Arabidopsis thaliana: one gene and its partner. The main gene of each other region encodes a partner of the protein of the gene in region 2 in a complex. Each region holds a gene or a part of one and is shown on either strand. Other genes may lie near its edges. The genes, in order: AT2G42310 and AT4G00585. A codon is read from its position in the direction of its gene.

Region 1 (3,284 bases), on a different chromosome or scaffold from region 2:
CTTCTATTGTTTAATCGCTAGTCTCTTCTTTTGTTTAATCATCATGTATGAAACCAGAGGATGAGATGAAGATCACAAGCTTGCTAAAAAGCCAACACCAGCATAAAGTACTTGTACTTAAAAGAGAAGAATATGAAGCCACACTTTAGGAAACTAAACAAAGGATTTGGGAAACTATGAGCAATAGTAGTACTCAAAGGCAGTATAGTATTAATCGACCAAAATCTATAGAGATAGAGGTAAGCAGTCATGATTTCTAAAACATTATCTACCCAAATCTAGTGAAGTTACTTTCAACTCCAGACTTGTCCAAGTATAAGATCGAAATCAACATTCTCATCTGCTATTCTCAGCTAAGTAGAAACCTAATAAACACCACCGTCAAAGAAACTGAAATCTAGTGTGTCAAATCTACCAATAGCTGACACCATGAAAACTCCAAACGCTAGCCTAATAAAATACAGCAAATGACAAAACTGAAATCTAGAGTGTTGCATCTAACAATGGCTGATGCCATTCCAACCACTTGAAAGCCTACAAAACTTATTGTGCACGCTGCAATAACCTATAATCACGAACATGTCTACAACACAAAGGAACAATCCATGCCCTAGTTAGAGCTACACTATCAGCTTATCACTACTACTACAACAAATGACAAGTATAAAAAAGATGATCTAAAGAGATAAGAATCGACTAACATAAAGTAGCTATTAATCTAATCAATATGCACTGCACTGAGTGAAACAAGCAAACCTGAGATTCACAGAGAACATAAACAAGCCATGAACTAAGGAAGAGAAGCACACAACATCAGCATACAACTCTCGTTTAATCTCTTTCTCCAATTAGTAATGCAGCAATCAATAGTCGAAATTGAATCATTTGAGAAATGAGTAAATCAAAAGTGACCAAATTTGAGAATTGTAATAAGAAGTAGAGAGTGAAGGCAATTGCGTCTAAACAGTTAAAAGAACACTTATTTCATGAACATCATCATTATCGACAAAACAAAGGAGAATTGAAACAAAGTTCAAGGGCCAAACGAAACCCTAACTCTCCAGTCTTCGTTATCATCATCATTAAACGGTAAAAAAACTCCTCAACTCCCGGAGAATAAGGACATACCAAATCAAGCAACCGGAGATCCAACGGTGATGCTTAATCAGATGAATCTCCAGCGGTCGCGAGCTTCTCCATCTCAAGACGCTCTAAAGCTTTCTGATGAGCCCAAGTCTCGATTGAAAGATCAGGTTTGGCATTGAGTCCAACGCCGAGGATAACAATTGTAAGGAAGCTGGTGATGTAACAAGGAAGCTCCCAATCTTCCCATTTTCGCGACTGTCCTGGTGCCGGAGGAGTACGGTTCATAAAGTAACCCTTAGGTCGCTCCTCGTGACCTGGCGTCGCCCACCGACTCGGACCGGCGGATGTAGATCCAGACCTAGAGAAGATCCGATTTCGTAGCGTCTTCGCTGCGACGGTCAAGGACTGCGTCGACGGCATCGCGTTGGTTCAGATATTTCCGCTGTAAGCAAAAAGGAAATGCTCAGATTTGTCAAGTGTCCAACTATATACGACCACGACCTACAAAAGGTTTCATTCGAACCGAACCGAGAATTTCAATTTTGGTTTATTGAAATTGTCAGTTTAATTGGGAATTATATAATGGTTTCAGCTTAGATTATCCGGTCTAACAGATTTATATACGAAATTGACTCTCTTTTATGTTCGGTATGACTTGGTATTCTCAGTTCTCATTTTGTTTTACGGTTTGACTGGAAATTTTGTAGTCCAAATCGGTTCTGGCAGTTTGGTTATAATTTAGGTAGACCAAATTGAATTGGTCACACTAGTCGGTTAAGCAGTATTGGATGATAGTATTCGTGTACGACGTCGTAATTGCTCAGTAACATATCAAATCTTCATATACTTCTCTCAAGGGAAACGCAATTTAGACATTCTGAATTCTACATTGAGGAATCTAGTAAATATAGAAAGGCCATGAACAAAGACCTGAAACAATCATAACCATTTTCTACCTCTAATTCAACAATCGAAACTTTAGTAGATATATATAACTCTTATATATACACATAAGCATGTCAAACTGTTTCCAACTTAGAGCTCCATTTTCACCTGATTTGGGTGTAAAGTAGCTGAACCCATTGAGAAATTGGCTTGATGATGATCTTCTTCTCTTCCCCATTCCGGCTGGTGGTAGCCGTCGAAAGGCCATTGTTGCAGCTGATGATAAGACTCTGCATTGAAGCTACCATCCATAAGAGAGCCGTTCTGCAGAAAAGATAATTGGACCTCATCATTATTAACACAATTTGTAAAACATATCAGCTTCTCTTAGAGATGATTGATCCAACATCCTAGATTCTCAATCTAGTCAACAAGCCAGCTCTATTTTACTGTAACTCATCCTAGAAGAACAAGGTTTTTAATGAGTGGGGTCTGGTTCTTAAATGGTGTACAAGCTGTAAAAGAAGAAGGTCATTTAATAAGAAAGTTATTTGCAGAGAAACAAAAGTTGATTATTAGATTAGATAGGTGAAACTTGAAGCAACAATAACTTAAGACTGAGACCCACAGAAAAATAATTGTGCAAGGATAAAAAAAAAAGACAGCATCATAGACCATAGAACAAAGGTGGTCCGTGTTTCTGACCACTTTTATCTCTCTGTATGATATAATTGAGAGAACTAATGAGTCCTTTCAAAAGATTTTTTAGAGTCCTTGATCTCACTGTTTGTACTGCATTTTTGTAAGGTCTAAGTATTTATTTCCCCCACGTTGTTCTTCTTCTTTAAGCCTAGTCTAGAATAGGGTCGATTAATGTTGGATCAATAAATATCCAAAAGTTTCTCTTTTTGTGATACAACTTAAAAAGGTTACTCAAAGAAACATAATCCCTATGGTTACTTAAACGAGTAACATGGTCAAAGGGAAGTTTTTCCCAGTGAACATTGAATTTAAGAGTTTTTATTGTAAAAGAAGATCACATGCAACCTTAATTCTCCTATATGATTAGTTGATACTTACCTCTGAAGCCAGTATGCTGTCTAGATTGAAGTCGATTCTGGGGTTTACTGCAGCAAGTCTCATAGATAGCATCTGAAAAGAAGAAAAACGGTTATGTGACACTGTGGCACCAATTTTATCATACATTGTGTAGCTTAGTGTTTCAGTTCAGGACCTTCAGGTAAACAACAACAAAAGATAGTGCAAGAAGTCCTACCTCCACTTGACGCTGTAAAGTTTGCACATGGTTAATG
Region 2 (4,091 bases):
TGTCTTGGGATTTCTTTTGGTTTGTCTTTTGAACATTTGATGCTTTATGTTTTTCCCGGTTTAAGCAACTTATTTCCTCTATTAAATCATATCTTTTATTTTATTTTCATGCATGATTTCATATAGGATTAACTGCTGAACATTCCACCGTCTACATACTAATCAATCATAGTAGAAATTGAGCTCATGGATCTTTTAGAAGAGACTATTTTCTTGAGAAATGTGTTCCCACTGTATTATTCTTGATATAGGTTGTTCTGTTATGAGGTCTTTGTTGGGCCTGCAACAAAAGATAATTCAATGCTTGTTCCATAACAATGATTCCTTGTTCCTAAGATCGAGTGTCGAATTCATGTTGAATTTGTTCAGTTCTTTGAAATTTTAGATCTTTATCAATTAGCTTTGATTAGGATTTCTTCAATTAATCATCACTCTTGAATAAGATCTTAAGTATGATGTAATTGTTCGTCTAGTGTAGAGAAATAGTTCATTTATAAGATTGGTTCATGTTTCATGTGAATTTGTATATTCCATTGCCTTAATGTAAAATCGTATAATGATGATTCAAAACCCACATGGATTCTGCATCTGCCTCAGATAAAACCCACCCCTAGATTATCAGTAGGAATATGGAAAAAAACATGAAATTTCTTAATTTGGAAAGATTCCATGGTGTTGTTCTACATGGCAAGGAAAAAGACATATTATTATGTTCACAGTACTCTGAAATCCATAGACAAAGCTAGAAGCGCTTTTTTTATGCTCACATTGTCTGCAAATAAGAAGACCAATTAAAGGGTTCTCTCCAAACCAAGAAAAAAACTTTTAATGCTCTTTTTCGTAATCGTCCTTGGTTCCAAAGTTCTTGCACCAGATCTGTGAAGGAATTGGGCGTACTGGCATGTGTGGCCTTTGCTGAAATCAGAAAGGGCTTTTCTCAAATTGTGAACATCAAACAAGAAGTGGAAACTATATAGTAGCACGGACATACACAAAACATAACAATTCAAGTGCAGATTTTTTGTCACAAGGGACTCAAGCATTAGGCTACAATTTATAAGAGCAATTGCAAGTCTTCAGGCATTTGCACCCAAACCAAGATTTCAGTGTCGAACTACACATTCAACTGAATTCTTCTCAAAGAACCAGGCAAACTACAAAAATAATCAATGAAATCTCCCATAGCTATTACAAAACCATACAGGCTACAACACAAAGTAACATGGTGATGGGAAACAGGGCTTGGGGAGCTCAAAGGGTGCAAATCTAAATCAAGTCAGAGAAAAACATCACGGATAGGTTCCCATTTTGCGAGATATTACACAATCTATACAGTCACTGATACACTAATGCCCAATGAATTAATGGCAATGACTAAGAATTCCATACAGAACTGGGTACACGAAGTTTGTTCGTTTCATAAAAACACACTAGTGTACAACATATAACTAACGCTATCTGTTAGAATATCTTCACACACACTGCATGGTCCCAAACATCCAAATTTGCAGGATGCAGGTAGCAATTAATATCTACTGTAAAACATTCAATAGCTAGACAATCGGTTCCTTGAATCATCCAAATCTATTTCCACAAACCGATAAAACTATTGACAAACATAGACCAAGAACAAAGAAGATGTGAGGGAAGAATATGCGTAGATTCCAGTATCAACTTCCAAGCTATTCCCTTCTACTCATATGTTATTCGTACTATAATGAAGTATTGAAGGACCAAAGTAATGAAGTAATGAAGGACCAAAGTAATGAAGTATACCTCAAGCTTAGCAGATAGCTTGGCGATGGGGATGCACACAAGGAAAACGCCGAACATAGCAATGGCGGTGTTCCGACGCCAATGTTTGGGCCTACAGTTAGGCCCACCAGTCATACTCCAGACTTTGGCTCTGAAATCGCCTCCTTCTGCTCCATGTCCATGATCACCTCCTCCCATTTTTCCTAGATCGGATCAATTACTTCCACCAAAAACTGATTCCTTTTCCTAATTCGACAATGAAGATAGCCAGATCGATATCAGTGACATAGAATCAAAATGATGTCAACCCTAGCCTCCCTAACATTTAAAAATTATTACAAAATTCAACAAGTGAGAATTGAAATAGAATGATTCCGGCGAACCGGTGATCAGAAATCGGCTTACCTTAGTGAAATCAGAAGGATCGCAAAGAAGACGAAGAAGATGAGACTTCTTCTACTTGTTCTAAAGAGTTAAGAGGGTGAGCGAAACGAGTTATGGCATTTGTTTGTAAATTTTCTGAATTCTCAGGGTCTTTTATGTCTCGGACAGTAATCTTTATTTTGGGCCTTCAAAATCCATTAGTTTCTCTTAAGGCCCATTTAAAACCATTTAAAGTTTATTTGAGCCTTCTAACTCTTTTTACTTTCTCTTAAGCCCATTTAAAGTTTATGTTGTCCAAAAAACGACACGATGTTTGCATCATTAATTCAACAACGGTAGACGTTTTTGTTTTTGCCTGAAGACGATGATGGCTGGCGACGGAGCAGATCAAAGTCGACGCTTTTTCGTGGCGGTTCACGTCGGGGCCGGATATCATGCGGCGGCTAACGAGAAAGCTCTTAGATCTGTCATGAGACGCGCTTGCCTAGCTGCGTCGACCATTCTTCGTCAGGTGCTTATTTGAGTTTCAGTTTCTTCTCATAGCCCAAATCGTTTAGAATCTCCAAATTGCATACCTTGAGGTTTATCTGTTGAATTTAGGATTCTGGTGAATGCATAGATGCTGTTTCAGCTGCCATTCAAGTCCTCGAGGTATTTGTTGGGTCTTTGTCACTGATTAAAGAAGACATGTTATAACTCTGTAGATTTTCTTCAGTTTTCTAATGATTCCTATGTGAATCTTTGTTGAATTAGGATGACCCGAGCACAAATGCTGGTAGAGGCTCTAATCTGACAGAAGATGGTCATGTGGAATGTGATGCTAGTCTTATGGATGGAGATTCAGGGATGTTTGGTGGTGTTGGAGCAGTTCCAGGTACTCATAAAAGCTCTCATATTAACCTTGTTCTTATACTTGTGGAATGGCTGAAGATTTTGTACGATGAACTGTATGTAGATCAGGTGTCAGAAATGCTATCAAAATTGCTGCTTTGTTGGTGAAAGAGCAGATTACTGGCTCAACTCTCTTAGGCCGTATACCTCCTATGTAACGAATCACTCTTCTTTGTTCTGATATCAACCCAAATTTGAATCTTGTTTTGTCGCTAGCGTTGGGTTGAACTTTCTGATTTGCCTCCCCAGGTTGTTGGTTGGTGAGGGAGCTCGACGTTGGGGTAAATCCAAAAGTGTTCTTATACCTGGAACTGTCACAGAAGCTGATCAGGTTTGAGATTTCCACTTTATCTTTGCTTTACTGTCAATCACCTGCTTGTTTTATTCCTTGAGAATGATTTAAGTTATTTTTGAACAGTGGCTGGTTACAGAGAGAGCAAGAAATCAGTGGAGAAGGTTCAAGGCCATGCTTTCTGAGGTAGGGGCAAAGAGTATTCTCTCTGCTGAAGAACATCCCAGAGGAACCGAGAATAATGAAACATGTGAGGAAAACGTATCATCCTGTGCAGCTGCAGATGAGGATAAGATCATGGACACTGTTGGCGTAATCTGTGTTGACAATGAAGGACACATTGCGTGTGGGTCCTCAAGTGGCGGTATTGCAATGAAGGTAATATATCAACAAATTCTTAGTTGTTCTTTTGAGCTGAAAGTAAAACTGATCTTCTCTTTCTGATCATGTATTTCAGATTAGCGGCCGTGTAGGTTTGGCGGCAACATATGGTTCTGGTTGCTGGGCATCCTCTAAAGGACCATTTGGAGCTCCATTTCTAGTTGGATGTTGTGTGTCTGGAGCGGGAGAGTATCTTATGAGAGGTTTTGCAGCTAGAGAGTGTTGTACTTCATTGGCACTGTATATTTCCCTTATCTTTCTTAGTTTTTATGCTTTTCTCGGTGTTGGTTGTTCTTCTGTAACAAAGCTAAGAAGGGATTCCTTATGCTGTTAGCTCTCAGGCTGGTCCAGCATCTGCTGCCATGAAGGTTTTACGTTCTGTAATGCA

What was found.
Region 1: the proteins of AT4G00585 (region 2) and AT2G42310 are in contact, whole or in part, in a cryo-EM structure (PDB 8BEH), measured with the Arabidopsis thaliana proteins. Residues at the interface, in NP_567180.1 of Arabidopsis thaliana: Arg16 (codon at 1,908), Ala17 (codon at 1,905), Lys18 (codon at 1,902), Val19 (codon at 1,899), Trp20 (codon at 1,896), Gly24 (codon at 1,884), Gly25 (codon at 1,881), Pro26 (codon at 1,878), Asn27 (codon at 1,875), Cys28 (codon at 1,872), Arg29 (codon at 1,869), Pro30 (codon at 1,866), Lys31 (codon at 1,863), Trp33 (codon at 1,857), Arg34 (codon at 1,854), Glu85 (codon at 840), His88 (codon at 831); in NP_181760.1 of Arabidopsis thaliana: Arg31 (codon at 1,416), Trp32 (codon at 1,413), Ala33 (codon at 1,410), Thr34 (codon at 1,407), Pro35 (codon at 1,404), Gly36 (codon at 1,401), His37 (codon at 1,398), Glu38 (codon at 1,395), Lys42 (codon at 1,383), Gly43 (codon at 1,380), Tyr44 (codon at 1,377), Phe45 (codon at 1,374), His94 (codon at 1,227), Leu98 (codon at 1,215), Lys105 (codon at 1,194).

The regions. Positions count from the first base shown.
Region 1 is NC_003071.7:17,623,473-17,626,756, reverse strand, and holds AT2G42310 (ESSS subunit of NADH:ubiquinone oxidoreductase (complex I) protein), read right to left. Parts: upstream 1,765-3,284; 5' UTR 1,507-1,764; coding exon 1,162-1,506; 3' UTR 817-1,161; downstream 1-816. Other genes in the region: AT2G42300 (basic helix-loop-helix (bHLH) DNA-binding superfamily protein), read right to left, coding at 2,122-2,295, 3,052-3,123, 3,248-3,284.
Region 2 is NC_003075.7:250,332-254,422, forward strand, and holds AT4G00585 (uncharacterized protein), read right to left. Parts: upstream 2,268-4,091; 5' UTR 2,161-2,267; intron 2,002-2,160; 5' UTR 1,954-2,001; coding exon 1,777-1,953; intron 916-1,776; coding exon 826-915; 3' UTR 509-825; downstream 1-508. Other genes in the region: AT4G00590 (N-terminal nucleophile aminohydrolases (Ntn hydrolases) superfamily protein), read left to right, coding at 2,504-2,650, 2,740-2,790, 2,893-3,013, 3,100-3,184, 3,280-3,361, 3,449-3,700, 3,780-3,943, 4,038-4,091.